2 linked regions of the Kluyveromyces lactis genome follow. The protein of the gene in region 1 interacts with the protein of each later gene in a pairwise test. Links are inferred from orthologs where the notes say so. Each region holds a gene or a part of one and is shown in the gene's direction. Other genes may lie near its edges.

Evidence for each region. The genes of interacting proteins can lie anywhere in the genome.
Region 2: the proteins of GCD11 (region 1) and CDC123 interact in binary tests that used the Saccharomyces cerevisiae proteins (3 or more experiments, as listed by UniProt). The link is inferred for Kluyveromyces lactis from reciprocal best matches to the Saccharomyces cerevisiae genes GCD11 and CDC123.

The regions. Positions count from the first base shown.
Region 1 is NC_006040.1:897,796-903,056, reverse strand, and holds GCD11 (translation initiation factor eIF2 subunit gamma), read left to right. Parts: upstream 1-3,198; coding exon 3,199-4,761; downstream 4,762-5,261. Other genes in the region: leucine-responsive transcriptional regulator LEU3, read left to right, coding at 1-2,731; GTPase-activating protein SST2, read right to left, coding at 4,899-5,261. UniProt on the Saccharomyces cerevisiae protein: As a subunit of eukaryotic initiation factor 2 eIF2, involved in the early steps of protein synthesis.
Region 2 is NC_006042.1:488,168-493,283, reverse strand, and holds CDC123 (cell proliferation protein CDC123), read left to right. Parts: upstream 1-3,320; coding exon 3,321-4,421; downstream 4,422-5,116. Other genes in the region: CRD1 (cardiolipin synthase), read left to right, coding at 1-895; chaperonin-containing T-complex subunit CCT4, read right to left, coding at 1,156-2,748; FRE1 (ferric/cupric-chelate reductase), read right to left, coding at 4,939-5,116. UniProt on the Saccharomyces cerevisiae protein: ATP-dependent protein-folding chaperone for the eIF2 complex. Binds to the gamma subunit of the eIF2 complex which allows the subunit to assemble with the alpha and beta subunits.

The DNA.
Region 1 (5,261 bases):
TTTTGGCGATATGAGTGGTGTTTCAAGTGCTTCTTCTACCCCTGTAAGTGTGAAATTATGTAATGACAAGAAAATGCCACAGAAGAAGAAACTGGCGTGTGTGGAATGTCGGCAACAAAAATCAAAGTGTGATGCACATGAAAGGGCTCCTGAGCCTTGTTCAAGGTGCTTAAAGAAAGGTGTACCCTGTGTACTTCAAAAGGATTTCAGGAGAACTTGTAAGAGAGCACGTAACGAGGTAATAGCAAAAAAGTTTCAGGAATTAACCCAGTCATTATCGAATCTCGGTTCTGAAGAGCTGTTGAAGAAATTAGATGCAGAAACATTGAGACTTCCGGAAGATTTAGGATTGATAAAGGTGGAGACGAGCACTGGTGCTGAGGCACCATGGGATCAAAATTCAATTGGTACTGGCTCGAGAAGTAACTCAACTGGCGGTCAGGAGATTGCATTACGTACCGTTTTATCTACAAATGATTTTGTTTCAATAGCGGTATCATCGAACACAACTGGTTCAGGGACGAAACTAGATGGGCCTATAACACTTACAAAACAGCAATTAGAATGCCAGCCAAAAACTTTGGGAGATGTTACTCTATCGAGTAGTGATATTGCTAACTTTTTCAGCGAATTCACAACCAAGTATCATCCTTTTTTACCTGTGGTGGATGTGACAAAAGGTCCTGAAAGAATATACAGCCTATCTCCTTGTCTCTTTTGGGTTATAATACTAGTAGGGCTTAGACGTAAATTTGAAGCTATAGAGATGATGAATAAACTTTCGAATATGGTTAAATCTATTTTGGCAGAAATTACCATTTCTCCGATTATTAGGTACACACCAATGGAATCTGACGAGCCTGTCTTGAACGTGTCTTCTGTTTACTCGGTGCAGGCATTTTTAATATACACGTATTGGCCACCATTAACGTCATCGCTAAGCGCCGACACATCTTGGAATACTATCGGTTCTGCAATGTTCCAAGCACTGCGCGTGGGACTCAACAGTGCTCAGTTTTCCACGGAATATGCATCAGCAAACTCGCAACTTATTCATGAACAGATACGAACGTGGATTTGTTGTAATATTGTATCACAAACAATATCTGCCTCCTTTGGGTTCCCCGCATATGTCTCTTTTGACCATACCGTTATAAATACCTGCAAGATTTCAACAGTAGAGAGTAGTACGACAGATTTCATACCTTTTTCCATCAAACAAATGTTACAAATTGCTCATTTCGAGAATCAAATCGTGGATACTATGAACTCAAATCCTAGTAATATGAGCGGCCTTGTTGCCAATGAGGAAAAATTACCATTATTACACGTTTTGAACAGACAACTAAGCGAACTAGAGTTACAGCTTGATAATGTGAAATTAGATGATATCAGAAGATTCTTACTTCTCGTAACGAAGGTGCACTTGTTGACGCACTATTTTAGCAATGTTACCGATAATGTTGATCCAACTTCCGTCCAAAAAATATCTGTGAAAGACATGGAAACAAGCTTTGCAACTAAAAGAGGACTAGTAATAGCGTACAATGCAGCCGTAAAACTCTTGAAACATGCGAAATGTATGTGGAAACGGGATCCACTAGCTGTGAAATATCTTCCAGGTGTTTATGTTCTTAATATATGGCAGGCAGCATCAATAATATCAAAGCTAGTCCATTCCTCATTGGGCTCAATTATCGATGTCGATACTGGTCATGAAGTTTATCAAGATGCTGTATCATTAATTTCGAATGCTTCTGTCCTCAAGTACGATATGGCTTATAGATCAGCTGGTATTATGAGAAGTATATGGAGCATGTTCAGCAACATGTTCGAAGAGTGGAAAGCGAAGAAAGACCAAAGTTCCTCTTCAACACAGTCAGAAAAGGATTTTAACTTGAGTATTACCATAAGATCTAGAATGTCTGTGAGTGTTTTCTTTGACTGCTTGTTCATATTAAGACAGAAGTGCGGTATGGCAAAACTAAAGAGAGAAAGAGAAAAGACAGTCTCCTCTGATGATGAAAATAGTGGCGATAACCATAACGGAGATGCAGAGTCCAAAGAACTACTGCCCAACGATGGGTATTCCGAAGAACATGCCAGAAGGATTATATCTACCATTCCACTTGACCCAGAGCCCATCAATGCACAGCAGTCCAGTGGAAGCAATATTACATCTCCGAACGGTTCACATAGTAGTGACGTTTTGTCATTGAAATCAATCCTAAACAAAACGTCCCCAAAGGACGAGATTTTGCAGAAACAGAAAAATGGTACAATGCCATCTTCATCTTCCCCTAGCAACAATATCATAGTATCACCTACAAACACACATGCTGGTGCTTCCAATGTTGAAACTAGCGGTTATCCCAGATCTCTAAATCCTTTGAACGCCGTCACAGACAATAAACTCATAAACCATTCTACCACCGCCAAGAAAACGAACTCCCCACAATTTAGGGTTTCAAGTCCGTCAAATCATAGTAAACCGACTCGAAAGATCAATCCTGCTGCGCAGTCCTTAAATGAGTTGTTGGAGCCACCAATACCGCAATCCTTCCAGTCCGTTACAAAATCGATAATATCAGAAGGAACTGAAAACAGAAAGGAAGATACGCCCTCAATTTCTCCAGGTCTTACGGAAAGATGGGACAACTGGGAATCAGATCTTGTTTGGAAAGATGTCGACATTCTAATGAACGAATTCGCATTCAATCCGACGTTGTAATATTAAATTATTGGTTATATATTTCTATAAATACTTATTATAAGACGAATTAAATCATCGGTTAACAGATTGATACTGCGAAATGACACCAACTGCTAACCTGTCACTGGCGAGAAACCTAAGCAAAACCAGATGTCGTTATGCACATTTTCCAAGTACTTAAAACATAATCACGTGATCGAAAATACCACCAGATTTCTCTTTCTGTACGAAATCGTTACTTTGTATCGAAAATTTTTTTGAATTGTAAGAATGCCAAATTCGAAATCAGTTTCAACAGAATTGAGTAGATATATGTGGATATGATTAATCTCGATGAGTAATGAAGGTGTAAAGGTATAAAGATCTTGTTAGCAACCGAGTTTAATTCCAGAGAATAGAACGGCCAGGTGCAGTATTTGGGAAAGTATCAAAAAGGATATCTAGTGATAGTTTTTTCTGATTGTTTATAATACCTAAAGTTCAGGATGTCTGATTTGCAAAACCAAGAGCCAAGTATTGTCATCAATGGGGATCTTAATGATGAGCCAATAGATACATTTGAGGTTGAAGAAGAGGAGCAAGTTTTTGATGAAGTGAAGCCTAAGAAGACTGTTACTTTCAGTGGGATTGATGATGTGGAAGCGGATGAAGAACGTAGAAAGAGAGAATTTGAAGAAGGTGGTGGTCTTCCAGAGCAACCAACGAACCCAGATTTTTCCAAGTTGAACCCTCTATCACCAGAAATTATCAATAGACAAGCCACTATCAATATTGGTACTATCGGTCATGTCGCTCACGGTAAATCTACCGTTGTGAGAGCTATTTCAGGTGTTCAAACCGTTCGTTTCAAGGATGAATTAGAACGTAATATTACCATTAAATTAGGTTACGCCAATGCCAAAATCTATAAAGCAGAAGATCCAGAATGCCCAGAACCAGACTGTTATAAGTCTTTCAGATCTGACAAAGAAGTTGCACCAAAGGTTGATCTTCCAGGTTACAGTGGACGTTATAAACTAGTCCGTCATGTTTCCTTTGTCGATTGTCCTGGTCACGATATTTTAATGTCTACCATGTTGTCTGGTGCTGCCGTTATGGATGCAGCACTACTTCTAATCGCAGGTAACGAATCCTGTCCTCAACCACAAACCTCTGAACATTTGGCTGCTATCGAAATTATGAAGTTGAAGCACGTTATCATTTTACAGAACAAAGTCGATCTAATGAGAGAAGACTCTGCTCTGGAACATCAAAAATCTATTTTGAAATTTATTAGAGGTACCATCGCTGATGGTGCTCCAATCGTTCCAATCTCAGCCCAATTGAAATATAACATTGATGCTGTGAATGAATTCATCGTGAAAAGTATTCCTGTTCCTCAAAGAGACTTCTTAGCGTCTCCGAGATTGATTGTCATTCGTTCCTTTGATGTTAACAAGCCAGGTGCCGAAATCGAAGATTTGAAGGGTGGTGTTGCCGGTGGTTCCATTTTGACTGGTGTTTTCAAATTAGGCGATGAGATCGAAATTAGACCAGGTATCGTCACTAAAGATGATCATGGTAAGATTCAATGTAAGCCAATTTTCTCCAATATCGTTTCCCTATTTGCTGAACACAACGACCTAAAATTCGCCGTTCCAGGTGGTTTGATTGGTGTTGGTACTAAGGTCGATCCAACGTTATGTAGAGCAGATCGTCTAGTGGGTCAAGTCGTTGGTGCTAAGGGCCATTTGCCATCTATCTACACCGATATCGAAATTAACTACTTCCTATTGCGTCGTCTATTAGGTGTAAAGACCGATGGTCAAAAACAAGCAAAGGTTAGAAAGTTAGAGCCAAATGAAGTTTTAATGGTGAACATCGGTTCCACCGCTACTGGTGCCCGTGTGGTTGCCGTCAAAGCCGATATGGCAAGATTACAATTAACTTCCCCTGCATGTACAGAAGTTAATGAAAAGATTGCATTATCTAGACGTATCGAAAAGCATTGGCGTTTAATTGGTTGGGCTACTATCAAGAAGGGTACCACTCTTGAACCAATCGCTTAATCTGTAAATTAACTAAATGATTTTATATATGTCTATATGTATATATTGTCACATTAATGTTCCATTTTCTTGGTAGAAAAGGCCACATTCTTTTGCAAGATGAATATCTTTATTCTTCATGATGAAATGCCTAGGTTCTACTTGTTAGCAGTTATTAATGAAATTGCGTCCCTATACGATTCTGTTGCCAGGAATTTGGGCAAAGAGTCGTTCTTCATCATGATAAATACGGTATTTCTGATTTTTTCCAGTAACTGATACAAATCCTTCAACATTGATATAGCATGAATAATGACGTATGACTCAGTACCCTTATTAAGAGGTGTCGGCGCCAATGGCATTGACGTGTTACTATGGGATTGTACTTTATGCTCCACGCATTTCTTCCGGGCAGCAGGATCGAGGCTTAAGGGTCTATTAACAGATGCATCCGAAATGGCTCTTGAACAATTTTCCTTGCCTGAAGTGTCGAACGCAGTTTTAGTTGGAGACTGAGGGTG
Region 2 (5,116 bases), on another chromosome or scaffold:
GATTTTGAACGTTTTAACCATTTCGAAGCAAGTGAATGGATTGAGAAGAATCGTACAGAAAACCAACGGAATAAGCTCAAACTTGCAGTTTAGCCGAAGCAAGGCTCTGAAACAAATTATTGGAATACGGCCTTTCCGTCACTCCCAGCGCTTCTACTCAACTGACAATCGTGATTTGGTAAAGGAACCAGAGAAGAAACAGCAGCAACAGCAACGGACAAAAAGCGCGATAACTAATGGAATATGGACTTTACCAAACGTGTTAACGATGAGTAGAATAGCGACAACGCCCTTGATTGGTTACTACATCTTAACTCAGAACCTTGCCCCCGCAATGTCTTTATTCGTGTACTCTTGTGTCACTGACTTTTTAGATGGGTACCTTGCGAGATCGTACAAGATGAAATCTGTAGCTGGAACAGTTCTTGATCCAATGGCAGATAAGATATTAATGATGACAACGACAGCCGCTTTGTGCGTACCTTCTGGCCCCCAAATCATTCCGTTAGCGGTTGCTGGACTTATTTTCGGAAGAGATCTATTGTTGGGGTTGAGTGCCATTTATTTCAGGTATGCATCAATGAAGCATCGTTACGGCTCTGTTACATGGAACTCGTATTGGGATATTTTCCATTATCCAAGCGCAGAGGTTAAACCAACGCAAATTTCGAAGTGGAACACTTTCGTACAAATGATCTATGTAGGATTTGGTGTTGTCCTCTTGATCATAAATAACACTAAAGATGAGGAGGAAGGCAAAGAAGGTTTGTTGAAGGAAAATAGTCAATTTGCGTTTACTTTACTGGGCTATTTGGTCAGTGTAACGACAGTATGGAGTGGAGCATCCTACGTGTTCAATAAAAATGCTGTCCGTTATCTGAGTAAATTGAAGTGAGTTATTTTTACCATCTCGCCATCCATACTCATAAATTGCATAATTTTGGTCGATACATCTTCGCCCTTTGCGTCTGCATTTAGAAAGAACAACTTTGCTTCAAAGGCAAATCCATCTCGTGCTCGTAACGCCAATCGTAATCTTGTATATAGCTGGTTAGTATTAATATTTCTAAAGGAGTAGAATATTATTCTAAACTATATTATCAGTTTCGTTTTTAATGTACAAATCTATTTAGGAGAAGAAACTACATTGGCCTATTAACGACTGAAAGTGATATCATCAATACGTAGAATAGACTTAACACATTCAGAAGCCAACCTGATTGCACTTGTGGATACTAGAACAGGTTGTAGAATATGGTCTTCGTAAGTATTTGAGGTACCAGAACGTCTTACCGAAATACCAGAATTGGATTCACCATTTTCGTGTCTCAAACGTAACTCCGTGACAACATTCAAACTATTCAAACCTGCATTCTCGGCTAATGTCGTTGGAATGACTTCTAGTGCTTCTGCATACTCTTGCCAAACAAATGCTTCCACACCTTCCATGGTACGCGCTTCCTTCATTAGACGGTATGAAACTTCAATTTCTGGGGCACCACCACCTGCAATCAAGGCTCTTTCTTTAACCAAACAACGGATGACACATAAAGCATCATGTAGAGAACGTTCAGTTTCATCCAAGACCATGTTGTTAGCACCGCGAATGACGACTGACACTGTTGGGTTCTTGTTGGTTGTCTTTACACCAGTGATGGTAACAATATTGGAACCATCACTTTCCACTTCTTCTACTACGTCTGCAGAGCCTAATCTGTCTTCGGTGAATAGTTCAACGTCAGAGATTGGTTTACAACCCAAACTCTTTGATAAGAATTCAACTTCATCTCTTTCAATATCTCTGACCACCATTATTCCCAATTTTGAGAGGAAATGCAATGCAAGGTCATTTACAGCATCTCTTAGGATAGACTTCTGGATTAACAACACGTTACATTTGGCCTTCTTGATCTTTTTACATATGTTCAACAAGTAAGCTCTTTCCTCTTTCAAAATCTTATCCATTTGTCTATAATCGTTAACCACAATGTTATTTTCAGTATCTGGCTTTGGAGGAGAAATTTGGAATTGGATTAATCCGATCCTTGCCTTTTCAATTCTAGTTGGTCCACCGGCAGTTTTTACCGCATTTTGTGTCAAGACAACACCATTTACCATCTCAGTATCATCAATGGTACCACCAACCTTCTTGATCAAACGAATATCGTTCAAATCAACGTTAGTCGAATCATGAGAGGCAATGCTCAACACACAGTCTACGGCCAATGGGGCCAAAAATGAAGAATGTTGTGACACAATTTTAGAACTTAGCGAGGTAGATGCGGCACGAACTAAAGCCTCTTTATCGTCCAACGAGATCTTCGTTGACATGTTCAACAAAATCTCAACCGATCTTTCAGCAGCTCTTTGGAAAGATTCCGCAATAATAGTTGGATGGATCCCTTTATTCAACAACTTTTCAGCTGCACCTAATAGTGCACCTGTCATGATAACAACCGAGGTAGTACCATCACCAGCCTCAACATCCTGTGCACCAGAAACTTCAACCAACATCTTAGCCACTGGATGCAAGATAGCCATTTGTTTCAAAATGGTATGCCCATCGTTGGAAATAATAATATCACCTCTAGATGTCTTGATCATCTTATCCATACCCTTAGGACCCAAAGAAGTACGAATTGCATCGGCCACAGCACGGGCAGCTATAATATTGGCCTTACGAACTTCTTGTGGCTTCTCACGATTCTTAAAGGTCGCATTGGAAGGTTGTTTAGCTTGTGAAACCATCTTTTCAAACTCTCTTTACGATTGGGGAAAAATACCAAACGATAAACTTATCCGTAGTTCTTTGCCAAAACAAATTAGAACTTTCCGCTAAAGAATTGAGTAAAGTCACTTGCAGTTATAATACAAACTAAACAATGAGGCCTATGTGTGTTTCTTTGCTTCAAAATCAAACCCATCATCATTTATTTCACCATAATCAAAACCATTCCTAGTAACTAAAATCAAAATAAAATGTCATTTTCAGTACTTTTCGATCTTTCGTCAATACTACTGAGATTCACTTCTTCTCCCATAGTAAAGAAAGGGCCATAGAACAATTTTTTTTGCCACTAGAGGTTGATATTTCGTGCAATATGACACATTGACAAGACAAAATCCCAAGTCACGTGATATTCAGAATCTGATCAACCTTTTCTCTTAGTTAGTTTGATGTGAAAGGTCAAGATCATCTCATTGACATCTCATCGCAAGCTCGAATAGCAAAAGTGCAGCTGCTTTATCCGACTTTGTATGTTTAGGAAGAGGTAGTTGATATATAGCAGCATTAAACGGTTTGTTTCCTCTTCTTTGACATGGCAGCTGAAAGCTATACACCTTTAGTTGATATTAAGGTGAGGTCAGATGACATTAGGGCATGTAGTTTCTCATCATGGTACGATAAGTTCAAAAAATATACACCAAAGGCTAAGATTATTCAACCGCTGCCCGAGGAATTTCTACGATATTTGGCTCAGGACGGGATAAGGCTTTCTTTGGAAGAGAATGACTCTACGTATAATGATCATTGCTTAAAGCGTGACGATGATAACGAGTACAGTGATTGGGAGGCAGACGACGATGGTGATAATGATTCTGACTCAGACGATGATAAAAATGGGAAAGAAGAAGAGATGGTTCCTATGGTTAATTTCCCCGATCTTCATAGAGAGATTGCTGAAGTGATTGGTGAGTATGGCGCAGTCACGCCGAAACTCAACTGGTCTGCTCCAAGAGATGCTACTTGGATTTTGCCCAATAATACTTCCAAATGTATGAATGTGAATGACATTTATCTTTTACTAAATGCGTCTAACTATATCGCATACGATTTGGATCATGCGTTTGATGAATGTGAGGATAGGGACAATTCGGACAATCAGTCTATCCAGTTTGAACTAGTATTAAGGAAATGGTTTGACATAAACCCTGCGCTGGAATTTAGGGTGTTCGTCAGAGATTCTGAAATTTGGGGAATATCACAAAGGGATTTGAATTATTATAATTATTTGGAACCTTTACAGGATACATTCACGAACCTTATCGAGGAATTCGTTTATGATATCGTGCTACCCAATTTCGACCTAAAGTCTTTTGTGTTGGATGTATATTTACCCAGACCCTTTGAATCATGTTGGCTGATAGATATAAATCCTTGGTCAAGAACTACAGACCCGTTACTTTTCTCCTGGAACGAGTTGGCTTCGAAAGATTTAGATTCCGATGCCAGTCCTGAAATTAGACTCATCACAGAACACAATATGGGTAGATTCGTCACCAAAGAGCATTCAGAGAACCAAGTACCCAAAGATGTAGTTCAAGCTAGTTTAGATCCCGAGTCAATGAGAGAACTAACATATAAATGGAAAGAGATCCTTAAGATGCAAGAAGCGGAGAGCGATAGTGATAGCAATTAAGGGAATAATAATACGTTCTTTATTCATCAGCATCCATGCATTAACTCTGGCCAATGATAATTCGCTCATCTTTGTCCATAGAAATACCAATGAGTAACCCGTAGGATACCTGCCATTCACCAAACTGCATGGCACACCCACTATAAATAATTATCTACAATTTTACCTATTTATGTTCGAAAAAAGTTCGATATGTCGTGGATAAATTACCTTCAAAATTTGCACGATAACTGATACCGTCTGTAGTTATGCCGTACCCTTGAATCTAATAAAAGCACACTCTAACACATGTTCTCTAATGGCTTTCAAGCTATATGCGAGTATCTTTATAATGAGAATTGATTATATAGTTAAGGCTATAATTAAATGTAAATAATATTGACAGTACTGATATGATTAACTATTAAAAAATAGGTTTGTGGAATAAATAAACGCTGGGATATAAATTACTCAATGTTCTGCTTCATGCTATTTCATGCGGCCTTGCTGGCCGCTATCTCATCTTTCTTTGGTAGTATTACCAAGTAAAGGACTCCTCTTCTAAATCGACGTCTACCTTAGTGTTGGCTAATTCTTTTTTGACGCTGTATCTAACGACATCAATGAAGGAAGAAGGGCCACATGATACAAAAGAAATGTCCTCTTCGCTACTAGAAATGGCTTCATGCACGATTTGGTTCATATCCGGACGAGTA